2 linked regions of the Callithrix jacchus genome follow. Each later gene encodes a partner of the first gene's protein in a complex. Links are inferred from orthologs where the notes say so. Each region holds a gene or a part of one and is shown on either strand. Other genes may lie near its edges.

What was found.
Region 2: the proteins of MCHR2 (region 1) and PMCH are in contact, whole or in part, in a cryo-EM structure (PDB 8WST), measured with the Homo sapiens proteins. The link is inferred for Callithrix jacchus from reciprocal best matches to the Homo sapiens genes MCHR2 and PMCH. Residues at the interface, in NP_001035269.1 of Homo sapiens: His82, Gln92, Trp93, Gly96, Gly97, Thr110, Asp113, Gln117, Ile175, Phe177, Val181, Ser183, Cys184, Ala185, Phe186, Leu188, Thr189, Ser190, Pro191, Val194, Tyr197, Thr198, Tyr267, Gln271, Asn274, Met277, Glu278, Gln279, Pro280, Phe284; in NP_002665.2 of Homo sapiens: Leu151, Arg152, Cys153, Met154, Leu155, Gly156, Arg157, Val158, Tyr159, Arg160, Pro161, Cys162, Trp163.

Annotation. Positions count from the first base shown.
Region 1 is NC_133505.1:106,043,904-106,051,014, forward strand, and holds part of MCHR2 (melanin-concentrating hormone receptor 2), read right to left. Parts: intron 2,985-7,111; coding exon 2,775-2,984; intron 1-2,774. UniProt on the Homo sapiens protein: Receptor for melanin-concentrating hormone, coupled to G proteins that activate phosphoinositide hydrolysis.
Region 2 is NC_133510.1:105,231,473-105,238,033, forward strand, and holds PMCH (pro-MCH), read right to left. Parts: upstream 2,997-6,561; 5' UTR 2,934-2,996; coding exon 2,685-2,933; intron 2,680-2,684; exon of another isoform or gene 2,321-2,679; coding exon 2,122-2,320; exon of another isoform or gene 1,849-2,121; coding exon 1,799-1,848; 3' UTR 1,719-1,798; downstream 1-1,718. Other genes in the region: PARPBP (PCNA-interacting partner), read left to right, coding at 396-531, 1,094-1,434. UniProt on the Homo sapiens protein: MCH may act as a neurotransmitter or neuromodulator in a broad array of neuronal functions directed toward the regulation of goal-directed behavior, such as food intake, and general arousal. May also have a role in spermatocyte differentiation.

The sequences.
Region 1 (7,111 bases):
TTGTCTCCCTCTTAGAGAAGCCTTCTCTGACCACCCATTCTATACTAGAGAACATAACTATAAAAGATTATTTTAAAAAAAGATTGTAGGTAGACTCTGCTTTTCCCCCTAGTGTGTTATCACTATGTGGAAATATACATTTACTTGTGGGACTCCTCACTTAATGTCTGTCTATACCAGTAGAATGAAAGCCCCATGAGGGCAGGAGCCTTGATTATTAGTTTAAGGCCACTGTATCCTATGTGTCCAACAATCTCTAGCATATGGTTCATGCTCAATAAATATTTTTTGAATAAATTAATGAATAAATTGCAAATTTTGGCTCCTACTTACTGACTCTTGATGTTTTAGAGAATTTATTTATAAAAGTAGCCACTAATGAAAGTCTAGGTAGCTTTCATTTGAAGGCAAACATTTTGAATGTTTATATATTGTTTTCTTATGGCTATAGAGATAGGAGTTCACTACTAAACATTCTATACACTTGCAGTTATTACTAATTAGGGAAAGAAAATGAGTTATTGGAAACACTTAAAACGTATAATCCATTAAACTGGCAATTAAAATGATTTAAATATGTAACCACTAAGGCATATTGATGGCACTGACATTTAGTTATGCTCTTACAAAGCAAGCCTCATTTCTCTTTTACAAAACTGCAGATTTTGTTAAACTTTGATGAATTTAGTACAGTTAGAATTACAAGAAATATGAAGAAGGAAATAGTTCCATTTTATATCCTCTTCATTTGTTTCTTACCACCTGATCTTACAGAGTGAAGGCCAGGGGAAAGAAAGGGCAGAATGTCTTAAATGTGAAACGAAATTTTAGCATACTATGTACATTAGATTAAAACAAAACAAAATAAAACAAAAGGCTAGGTGTAAGATACACATGCATGCATGTGTGCACACGTACACAGAGAAAAACCTGTCAATATTAGGAAATACATGCAGTTGGTCTGCTCCAAGACAGAAAATGCCAATTTACTTCATTTATAGTAAGAAATTTACAGGAGTATATATATTTTTTTCCCCCAAAAAAGCCAATATTCTCTTGCATCCAAGGCACAGGGTATAAAAAAGCTCATATTATCCCCAAGATGGGATTACTATTGGTATGGCCTGTACTTTAAGTTGCTTTTCTACAGTGAACCTGGTCTGTTCAAGGCCTTCTTCCTGGTATTGAAACCCTGACAAGCTTCTGGGGCTTTTCTCACAACACAGTCACATTGGCTGGCGTCAGCTGAGCTAACTAGACCTATGCCATGTATTGATTTAAAAATGTGTTAATTATAAGTTGAAAAGCACATTCTATATTTTGAAAATTCTCTTGCAGAAAAAATGATTTTTTAAAATTTACCATGATTATTTATTTTTTTAAGAGTGAATGATTTATATAAACCTTGCCAATTTTTTTTTGTTCATCTAAAGAATGGCTCATCACTTCCCCACCGAAAGTCCCATTTGGAAGAGTGAAAGAGGCAGGGTTAAAGAATATTTCTGGATGAACCCAGGGAAATTTAACATATTCTTCAAGACATTCATTCATTCATTCATCAATATTTTTTGAGCACCTGAGTGCCAGGCACTGTTACGCACACACATTTAGGATATATTGGTGGACAAAGACCCTGCCCTGGTGGAATTTACATTTGAGGTGCAGGGTAACTAGACAATAAATCACACACACACACACACACACACACACACACACACAGTGATTTATGTAATATATTTGAAACCAAGGAAAAAGACAGTAGATCAGAGCAAGGATTAAATATGTTGGGTTAAGGTTGGGTTGGGAAGGAGGCAGATGGAGATTTTAAGTGGGTTGCTCTGGAGGACAGATTATCACTGTTGGAAATACTATGGTTGTCTTTAGGCCCTGTTTCTGTTTGGGGTGAGCTGCTAGGACCTGGTGGGGACATTCTGCATCTGGATAATACAGGTCTCATCCTAGATAGCAAGTTTTCTAGACAGGCCAGACAGTGAGGCAGTTACAACTACCTGCCATTTCTACAGGCAGATGGCTTGGGTCTGAACTGAGCTCTCCCACTCACTGACTCCATAAGTACTAACCACCATCATTATCTCCTCAAACAACATTAGCTTACATGGATGGTGAAAAGGGCTATGGCACATTCCAGGATATAGTGGAATACATTTCTAATGATATAAAATGACAGCATTTGTATTAACCAATCACAATAATGTTTGTAAAAGATGGTCTTCCTGGCACTGGGAAATTGCTTCATGGTCATATAGGAACCTCTACTCCACCGAATCCTTAGAGCTATGAGGTAATAACCAGTATATGAGACAGTAAACGTATCAGAAATAGCCCTGGACAGGGACTAAGGAAACCTACTTTAATTCTTGGCTCTGCCACTAATTCTCTGTGTCCTTCTAGCAAATCTCCTCACCTCTCTGGGCCTCAGTTTTCTTATTGTAAAAATGATGGGGGAAATTCATTCCGGTTTCTAATATTTCATGGTTTTGTGATTTTCTTCTTACAGTGAATTGCAAATAAAGCGGAGTCAAAAAGAATGATTAGAAAAAAAGAGATTGTTGTATTTTACTTTGCATTAAAAATAGAACCTCTGTGAAAATTAAACGAAATATTTGTAAGTAATCAGTCCTGCAATGAAGCAAACAAACGAAGAAGAGCTGTGCTGTTATAAACCATAACTGATGTTGCTTAAATTGGAATGAGCTTGGGGAAGCACAGGCACCTCTGAATTTTATTAAGATATTTCAAAGTCCTTAACTTACCTGTCCACACTCATTACAGTCATGATGGCACTACAGGCAAATTGATTGCAAGTATCTAGGGATGTGATGATGGTGCAGAGAGGGCCCCCAAACACCCACTCTCCCCCTCGGACCCACTGGTGAATAAGAAAGGGCATTCCAACGATGTGAACCAAATCAGCCACAGCCAGGTTGCAAATATAGATGTCAGGGACTGTTTTTTTCCTGGATCTGAAAGAGATGGAGGAAACTGAGGATTGACACTGAATGTATGCAGACTCTTCAATATATGCTACCTGATACAAATTTTTAATTGCCATAACGCATTTTAAATGTTAAAGGAAAACCTACACAAACACATAGAGCAAATGCCTAGACTTGTGTATATTTAAGCATTTTGAACTATTTATTTGGTAATTTACTGTGATGGTTTAAAAATATGTCCACAAGTCAGGTTCAGTGGCTCGCGCCTGTAATCCCAGCACTTTGGGAGGCTGAGGTGGGTTGATCACCTGAGGTCGGGCATTGGAGACCAGCCTGGCTAACATAGTGAAACCTCATCTCTACTAAAAATACAAAAAATTAGCTGGGTATGGTGGCAGGCACCTGTAATCCCAGCTACTAGGGAGACCAAGGCAAGAGAATCGCTTAAACTCAAGAGGCAGAGGTTGCAGTGAGCCAGGATCACACCATTGCACTCCAGCCTGGTCAACGAGAGCAAAACTCCATCTTGAAAAAAAAAATGTTCACAAATTCTTTGACATTCCTTTCAATAGTTGGAGCCTAATTCCCTCTCTTTGACTGCTGATCTTATTAATTTGCTTGTAACAATGAGAATATGGCAGAAGTGACAGTGTGTGACTTTGAAATTAGGTCACAAAGTTATTGTGGGGGTTTCTCTTTGCTCTCTGTTGGATTGCTCTCCCTGGCGGAAGCCTGCTGCTATCTTGTGAGAATACTCAGGTAACAGTATGGAGAGGTCCACGTGGAGTGGAACTGAAAGCTCCAGTCAACAACCAGTCAGCACCAGCTTGTCAGGTATGGGAGTGAGCTACCTTGGAGGCAGATCCTCCAGCTGCAGCCAAGCCTACCGATGACTGTAACCCTGGAAGATCATGAGTGAGAATCAACTAGCTAAGCTGCTCCTGTATCTCTGACCATTGGAAACATGTGAGATAGTAAATGTTTATTGTTTCCGGCCACTTTGTTTGGGGTAATTTTTTTTGAGACGTTTGGGGTAATTTTTTTCTGCAGCAACAAGTTATACCAACTTTAAATATACTCAGGCAAAAGATTTAGTCTTTACTCACTCCTAGTATTTAAAACAGCTGAAGACTGAAAATAAATGATTTATGTTGTCTAATGCAATTTCTTCCTTTTGCAGCTGAGGCCATTGTTAAGATTTCAACAATGACTTAGAAATATTCCAGTAAAATCTAACGATTAGCAAATACTGTTAATAAAGACCCTGAGATCCAGACAAGGAGGACAGTCATCTGAAAAGAGGGAGCTGATAGATGGCACTGAGAATGATCTCATGTCTCCTGTGGGGAGCAGGGGTTGGGAGAAGTGAATTCAATGCTATCTAGATGTGGCATTCTCATCACTAGGTGAAATACATTTCTAAGAGCAGAAATTTAAAATTTAATTGGTTCTTATTTTAAGGAGCTGGCACATTTGATAATAAACAGGTATCATCTTTGGGAGATGCTGTTCATTAATTCAATGAACACTTTATTGAGCATCATCAATTATATGGCAGGCATAATATTGTGCTCTGAAGCTGTAAAGCTAAATTATGTATAAACCCTATCATCAAGGAGCTTATCGTGTAGACATGCATAAATAAACAATCACATTACAATTTGATAGGTGAAAACTAGAGACAAGTACAAGAGCGCAAAGAAGGAGACCCTCTCCTCTTTTGTGGGAAGTGTTAAGACAGGTTTCTTGGCAGATGTGGACAAATATGAATTTAAAGAGCATATAAGAAACAGTCCTAAAATTATGCCACAGTTTCTAGTTTTCTCCTATTTCAGGACTAGTGCTCTGCTGTTTGGAAGTTATTGTGTGTCTTCATTATTCATTGGCTACAACTTCTATAGCCCATGAACTTCATTTCTCAGCTGTCAGATTCTCATGTGAAACATCAGACGGGGTGAGCCCATCTCTTCTCCAGGCCTTGGTGGCATTCACTCTGTGGAGGGGTTACTGCCATGGAGTCCTTATTCAGCAACCATACCATTCAACAACAGGTTGTTGCCACTAAAAAAACAGGTTGGTATCTTGCCCTCAGGAGCTTGGTGGCCCACACCAGAATGACGAAGAGGGAGAAGAAACCCGAAGGAAAGATCATGTCAAACAAAAGAGCAGCCAGCTGGCTGTCCTTGTACTCTCATTCCCTGTCCTCTCAGGGTCATTGAGAGTGGGAAATGGAGAAGGGATAGGGAAGAGGGACAGATATTAGCAGTCAGAAAGAGCTACAATCTAAAAAAAAAAATCATAAATCTTAGTCTATAAATAGATGTTATTTGCATGTTGGGGGTATAAACCATAAGCAATTGCTTAGGTCTCAATTGCAGTAATTAGATCCACGGCTCTTGCTTTTCTCTGGAGGGGTACCTATCGTTTACTGATAATGAATTATGGTAATTCTATTGTGGGGACAGTGCAGGCCATTAATTGGCAATTAAAAAGAATTAAATAAAGTGTTTCTAGATCATATTCTGTATAGTACAAAGAGAATTTGAAGCAATGGATAAATGTATCTGGACATAAATTACTAGGGCAATATAAATAATGCATTATATTTATTGTTGTCTTCTTTACTGAAAGCCACAACATCAAAATTAAAAACAACTAAATAGAAATTGTAGAATCTCTAACTACATAAATTATATTCCTTTTTAGGTCTCATTTATCTTCAGATTTCCTGTTGTCAGACTTCATGAGATTTATGTTTCTTATGATGTATACATTTAAAATAAAATACAAAGACTTGTGATAATTTTGACTAACATGTTCCATATGGTTAATGTGGTCATATCTAATGCTCATTAATTTGAGGAATGGTAAAATAAATTATGGAATTATGGTACTCCACACTACCACACTCAATAGGATGTAGCTGTTGTAAGTCATAGTTTGAAAGAATATTTAATCAGATGGGAAAATACTTATACTATTAAGTTAAAAAATTAAATAAATTTAGAGTCATGCTATATACATAATCGGCATTCTTTCTTTTTTAGAAATTCTTTTTTTCCCACCCCTTCCCCCAAGAATTTCTTAAATATACATAATCAGTATTCTTTCTTTTTTAAGAAATTTTATATAATTCTTTAATTATATAAAATTATGTATATAGCATGACTCTAAATTTATTTGTAAAAATTTTGCAGGAACAATATGTCAGGTGATGACAGTGATCACCTATTTGGTGACTGATATTTTACTTTATTGTTTGTATTTTGTGACTTTTTTCAAAATTTGTATTAAAACCATGTGAACCTTTTACAATCAGAAATAACAATATATGATATGGATTAAGTAAAACTAACAAAACATAACACTACATATGTGGGCTGCTGTGCTTGTCATTTGCCAGCCTGTCCTCAGGCCCCTTTGCCAACTGGCTTCTGATTAGGTTTGGCCAATCAAGTACCACTGGGAACTTGAGAGTAAGGAGGAAAGGAGAAGCCAGAATATTTCTTTCCCCTCTCTGCTGTCGGCATCTTGGGCAGCGGCTGCATCTCTCTCATGGTTCCAGCTTCTCCCGTAGCCCTCACTCCATGGTCCAAGATACCACTGTGGCTCCAGCTCCCACCAGGCAGCCTAGACTCCTGAGGTCTGTAAAATTTCCTTCTCTCTATCTCCCTCCAGCTTGGGGGAGGGAGAGGAAAGTGGCATTGGGGTGAGGGATGTAGAACTGAATTCCTGCTCTTGTTAATCTCTGGGTTGCCTTACCATCCCATTTGGCATTTAGTTGAATTAAATTGCTATCATGAGCCAATGCCAATGGATCAATAGTCATTTCCTGAAGTACTGTTTTGAGAATTCTGAGTCCTTACACAGATGCTATACAGGACAGACCTGTGTGATTAGAGATGACTGCTAAGGGTGAGAGTTTACAGCAGAGTTACATATTTGCCAACCCTGCTCTAGATATATACAGTAATATAGTGGAAAGAGAACCTAACTGGGAATTTTATGTTCATTCCTATGGCATCACTCATTGTGCCCTTAGGCAAGCCATTTAACTCCTTTGGATTCCCAAGCCAGCTGAGGATATTGGCCAACTGGACCATAGCACATATGATCAGATGTGGTTGCATGGTACTCTGGCATCTAAAACATAT
Region 2 (6,561 bases), on another chromosome or scaffold:
GAACTTGTATTTTTCTATGATTATGTATATTACCTGTATTGTTATTTTACTTACAATAAAATGCTCCAGAGCAGTGCTGACATAGGAATGTGTAACAAAGCCGTATAAAGAGTCTGAAATTGTTTTATAACTGTTACAAAAAAATAAAAAATATACATAAAGCTAGTATTTGTGGTGAAGAACAAAAATGCTAGCCATAGCAATGAATGAGTTCGCAAACTATGAAATATGAAAGGTTATAGCTTAATAAAGGATTGGGTAATTACAATGAGTAATAAATAAAAATTTCTAAGGGAAATTTTTATACCTCGATTACTACAGAGTGTGTATGTATCTAGATGAAGAAATAAAATAATGAATAAATTGCATATTTTCTTTTTTCTTTCTGTTACCAGATGAAGCAAACCTTAATTAGATCCCAATTTGCTTGTACTTATAAAGATGACAACATGATTAGCAAGGATAATTGGAAGAATATTAATGTAGCATCAAAGCCTTTGTGTGTTCTTCAGATGGAAAATAACCTTTCTGGTAATTGATCTTTTTTGTGCAATTAAAAAACAATTTAATTCTAGTCTACTAATTAGTTTTAAGTAAAACTGGATTATTTTTGCAAAGTACTATGTAATTTAAAGGTTTATATATATATATATATATATATATATATATATATATATATTTTTGAAGGCTGAAAGATTTATATTTTTAAAGACCTCAGTTTATTCAAAAAGTTAAATCTAAATACAGATTTATGGATAGGAATAGGACACAATTTGATTTAACTAAATGTATTTAAGAAGTAATATGTAGCATATGTTTAAGGATGAAATGTCATGCATTCAAACAAATATTTTAGTAGCATTGATGATTTGATTACTGGCCAAAGTTAACTCAGAGGTGCTGTGGTAAACTTAAAAGTAATGGGATAGTAATGTAGCTATATTTGTTAATTATATTATTTATAGTACTGTTTTACTTTAAAAATAAAAATTTGAATATTCTTTAGCCATTTTTAAAGTTTATTATAAAGTTCTCATGAATATTAATACTAAATATTATATAATTCCTTTCCTCTTTTTATCTTGCATAACAGAGGGCATAAATTCATCCATTGGAAGATCAACAATTGGAATGAGTTTTGGAAATGTTCATCTGGACAGAAGTAAAAATGAAAAAGTGTCAGGAAAATCAAGTAGTCAGACAGGAAATAAAAGCTCAAAAAGGAAACAGGTGGCTTTGGATGGTGAAAATATTCTCTGTGATAATGGAAATGAACCACCTCAACATAAAAGTGTTAAAATGCCTAAGAAATCAAATGATTCACAGAATAAATTGTATGGCAAACTAGCTAAAGTAGCAAAAAGCAATAAATGTACTGCCAAGAACAAGTTGATTCCTGGCCAGACAAAGTTAACTCAGTTTTTTAGACTATAAGTTTGTGTATTATATGCTTTAGGTTTATGCATATATAAAGCCATTCACCAAAGACATTCTTAATTTTTAAGAGATCAAGGTGTAAATTATGATGCTTTATTATATTGGTCTAGAGTGTATGTAAGGTTAGTATGTTAAGCATTGTTCAAAAATACTAATAAGTCATAATTATGCAGAATTTTCACAAAGTTTAATGCACAGAAAAAGCATATCATTTCGGTTACTGATATATCTTAACACTACTTTCTTTTAAATCAGACATTTAACATAAGACACAAGTTATAGTAGCATTACAGGCTTCTCTTCCCATTGGCAATTAAATGCTTCTATTTTCTTCTGAAAAGATGATGTGGACCAACAGGTATCAGATTTGCCAACAAGGTCGGTAGACTCTTCCCAGCATACATCTGAGCACTGAAGAAAGAAGAAAGTTTAAATTGTTAAAAGGATTATAATTATCACACAAAATTTATTAAGAAAAAAAAGAATGGATCTAGTACAACTAATTCTGAGTAAACCAAACTGTTAATAACTAATTAAATGCTTTTTAATCCCACATTTTTGGCAGGTGTAATCGAGCCACGGTCTTACTTGATTTTGTTATGATTGCATCCAAATTCGCTTAAACTCAGAGTTCTGTTTAATGGTGGAAGGATGTAAGAATTGAATTTTGAAAAGACTACTCACTGTCAAAATCTCTCCTTCCTATAGGAAATTTAGCTGAGTTTTCTTCATCCCCAATTTCTCTCTTTTCTTGTGTTGATTCAGTATTCTGAACTCCATTCTCAGCTGGAAAAGCTACAGATCCTTTTAGTGCAAGATAAGGTTTTATAGCCAGATTCAGTGGCAGACCATGATTTAAGAAATTATGTTTGGAGCCTGTGTTCTGTAAAGAGAAGGTTGATTTGTTTTTTAGCTATTATATTTGGAGTGGAACTATAATACAAATGTAGAATATTCTTGTTGATCAATTCAAAGATGCTCTGTACTGTTTTTGACTCTTTAAAAAAACCTTATATGCAAATTTATAGGAGAAAAAATACCCTTTTAGATAAGAGGTTCTCCAGGATGGAAGAACTACCTGGCATATAAGAAATATTGGCAGTTATCCTAATACATATTGTGACTGTTTACATATATTTCTGTTTATAAATGTATCAGTTTTTTTATAAAAGTATCAATTTTCAGAGGATTTGTAAGAATCATTTAAATTTTCATTGAAATAAATGACAAGTCACAGTGCCACTTACCTTTAAATTTTTGTTTTCCTCTTCGTTCATGAAACTGCTTTCATCATTTTTATATTGTTCCAGGGAAGGAGCAATAACTGATTTTTCTGCAGTGTCTTCCTTCTGAAAGGCTTTCCCCAACCTGAATGTATTAAATACCATGTCATCATCTAAATTTCTTATGGACTTGGATGCTGAAAGTAAAATACCTTGAGAAAACAAAGAAAAAGTTAGTATTAATATGTAGGAAGAGAGATTCATTTTTGCCATTCTTAGTTTGATGTCTGCATACAGTCAAATGAGAAAGAAAATGAAAAATTTCTCAGTCAGCCTGCTTGGCAAATGATTCCATATCTTTATATATTTTCCAGCTTGAATAGAAAGCACTTCAAAGAATTATACTTTTTGTTATCTTAGAAATGACTCATCAGATTGAGGCTAATCTTTTATACAGTTGCTAATACCTATATTGTTTTGGTTTTAGTGGCACATTGTTTACTTTGAGTGTGAATTTTCTTAGAATCTGATTAAAATCCTTGGTAGAATGCTTTCTGTTGAGTAGATTATAGTCTCTTAAAGATGGGTTGTTATTCAGGAAGACCACAGGACATCAGGCTCTCTCTATATTATTGTTTCCCTCTGTATTTTCTGATTAAGTAAAGATATTAAAACTCAAGTTACTTCACTCAAGGATAAGGATAAAGTTTTATTTCCTTTTAATCCTGATTAAACCAAAATAATCCTCAAAAAGGATTTTCTTTTATAAATACTTGATATAGTGTTTGGTGATTAAAGTACATATGCCTGTCAGTGGGAACAAAAAGCTATTTATGCGACATCAAAAATTGTCAGGTGTATTTTATCTCTGCATTTACAAAAGGATAATATGTACAAATACTTATTAATGAATTTAGCAATTAATGAAGTCCATGAAAAGAATATGTATGTGCCCCACAAACATTAATTTTGGATGAGTGTATATTGTATGATTTTTTCATTTCAGAGTTAATTTCTAATTTTGACCCCAATGAGTAAGATAATACATTCTTTTATATGTCTTCTGGTACATATATATAAGAATTTTTCTAGAGTATATTTCTCAGTATGAAATTGCTGGGTCATGGAGTATGTATATGTTCAGCTTTACTAATGCCAAAATATTTTCCAAAATAGTTATAAGTCATTTGTTCCCCCGATAAGCAGGGTGTGAGAGTTCCCATTGTTCCACGTCCGAGCTAACTCTAAGGTATTTCATTATCCTTTTATTTATATTTTCCTAATTACCAAAGAGGTTAAGTGTCTCCCCATATGTTTACAGTTTTTGTTTTGTTTTGTTTGTTGCTTTGTCTGTTTTCTATTGGGTTTTTTTTTCTAATTTATTTGTGTTCTTTATGTATTCTGGATATTTATTATTAGTTTCATTATATTGTATTTTCTGTCTGTTTGTGGCCTGTATTTTCAACCCCTCTGTGGTGTTTTTTGGTGAACCAAACTGATTAATTTTAATGTTCACATTTTTTTTCTTTTTTCTTTATGGCAGTGACTTTTTTTGTGTATGTGAGAGAAAGATGCTTGCATTCATTTTTTAAAATATTTTAATTTCTGAAGTAATGTGCAGAATGTACAGGTTTGTTACATAGGTATACACTTGCCATGGTGGTTTGCTGGACCCATCAACCTGTCATTTATATTAGGTATTTCTCCTAATGCTTTCCCTCCCCTACCCCGCCCCCCTACCCCCTAACAGGCCCCAGTGTGTGATGTTCTCCTCCCTGTGTCCATGTGTTCTCATTGTTCAACTCCCACTTATGAGCGAGAACATGTATTTGGTTTTCTATTCCTGTGTTAGTTTGCTGAGAATGATGGTTTCCACCTTCATCCATGTCCCTGCAGAAAACATGAACTCATCCTTTTTATGGCTGCATAGTATTCCATGGTGTATATATGCCACATTTTCTTTATTCAGTCTATCATTGATGGGCATTTGGGTTGATTCCAAGTCTTTGCTATTGTAAACAGTGCTGTAGTAAACATATGTGTGCATGTGTCTTTATAGTAGAATGATTTATAATCTTTTGGGTGTATACCCAGTAGTCGGATTGCTGGGTCAAATGGTATTTCTAGTTCTAGATCCTTGAGGAATCGCCACACTGGTCTTCCACAATGGTTGAACTAATTTATACTTTGTAAAAAAAAGCATTCCTATTTTTCCACATCCTGTCCAGCATCTGTTGTCTTCTGACGTTTTAATGATCACCATCTAACTGGCATGAGATGGCATCTCATTGTGGTTTTGATTTGCATTTTCTAATGACCAGTGATGATGAGCTTTTCTTCATATGTTTGTTGACTGCGTAAATAAATATCTTCTTTTTTTTTTTTTAAGACGGGGTTTCACCATGTTGGTCAGGCTGGTCTTGAACTCCCAACCTCAGGTGATCTGCCTGCCTTGGCCTCCAAAGTGCTTGGATTACAGGCATGAGCCACCACGCCTGGCAATAAATATCTTCTTTTGAGAAGTGTCTGTTTATATGCTTTGCCGACTTTTTGATGAGGTTGTTTTTTACTTACAAATTTGTGTAAGTTCTTTGTAGATTCTGGATATTATTAGCCCAGATGGATAGACTGCAAAAATTTTCTCCCATTCTGTAGGTTGTCTGTTCACTCTGATGATAGTTTCTTTTACTGTGCAGAAGCTCTTTAGTTTAATTCCATTTGCCTGTTTTGGCTTTTGTTTCCATTGCTTTTGGTGTTTTAGGCATGAATTCTTTGCCCATGCCTATGTCTTGAATGGTATTACCTAGGCAATACCATCTAGGCAACTACTTTTAATGCATTGTTTTTTAGAAATTCTTCTCAATCCTTAGATTATTAACATATTTTCATATATTTTCTTCTGTAAGTTTAAATATTTTGACTTTCATGTTTAGGGTTGTAATTCATCTGTAATTTCGTGTATAAGATAGAGATGTAATTTTACTTTGTCCAGTGTTCTTATCTATTTCTTGAAGAATTCATCCTATCTGCACTAATCTGCAGTGCCATCTCTGCAGTATATCAGATTTCTGTATATGTGTGGGCTCCTTTCAGAACATTCTATTCCACAGCCAAATCTATAATGTTAGTATAACTTTAAATAATTTTTAATATCTAGTAGGTCAAATTTCCCAGCCTTCTATTCACCCATATGTTTTTCTTTTACAACAGTTCCTTAGCTATTCTTAGTCATTTCTTTTCCATATAAATCTTAAAATCAGCTTTTCAAGTTCTTTAAGAATACTTGACAGGATATTAAGGTTCAGGTTAGGTATCCCTTATCTGCAATGATTAGGACCAGAAGTATTTGGTCCTATTTTTGGATTTGTGATGTTTTTCAGAATTTGAAACATTTGTATTATATTTGTTGAGTATCCCAAAATCTGAAATCTGAAATGCTTCAGTGAATTTTTTCTTTTTTAGCATCTTGTCAGTGCTCAAAAAGGTTCACATTTTGGAGCATTTTTGGATTTGGGGTTTTCAGATTTGGAATGCTCAGCCTATAATTGCGTTGGTTCTATAGATTAATTTTGGAGAAGAATTGACCTCCTGAAGGTAATTTATTATCTATGAGCATAGCATTTTTCTGTGTTTGCTTAGATCTTATTTAATCTTTTTTCTTGTTTAATCTTTTAACGACATTTTATTTTCTTCATAAAGGTCTTGCATACCTTTATTGGTAGAATTACAATTCTTTATAATTTAATTAAATTTTTTATTTTTGGTTGTTATAAATTGTATTTTTAAGAAATGATCTTTCTAGCATTATTGCTGGTATGTGCGTGTGTATTTGGCTTTTGCATAGTGATTTGATAATAGAAAAAACTTTCTAAACTCTTTTAATTTTTTTCTTTTTAATAGT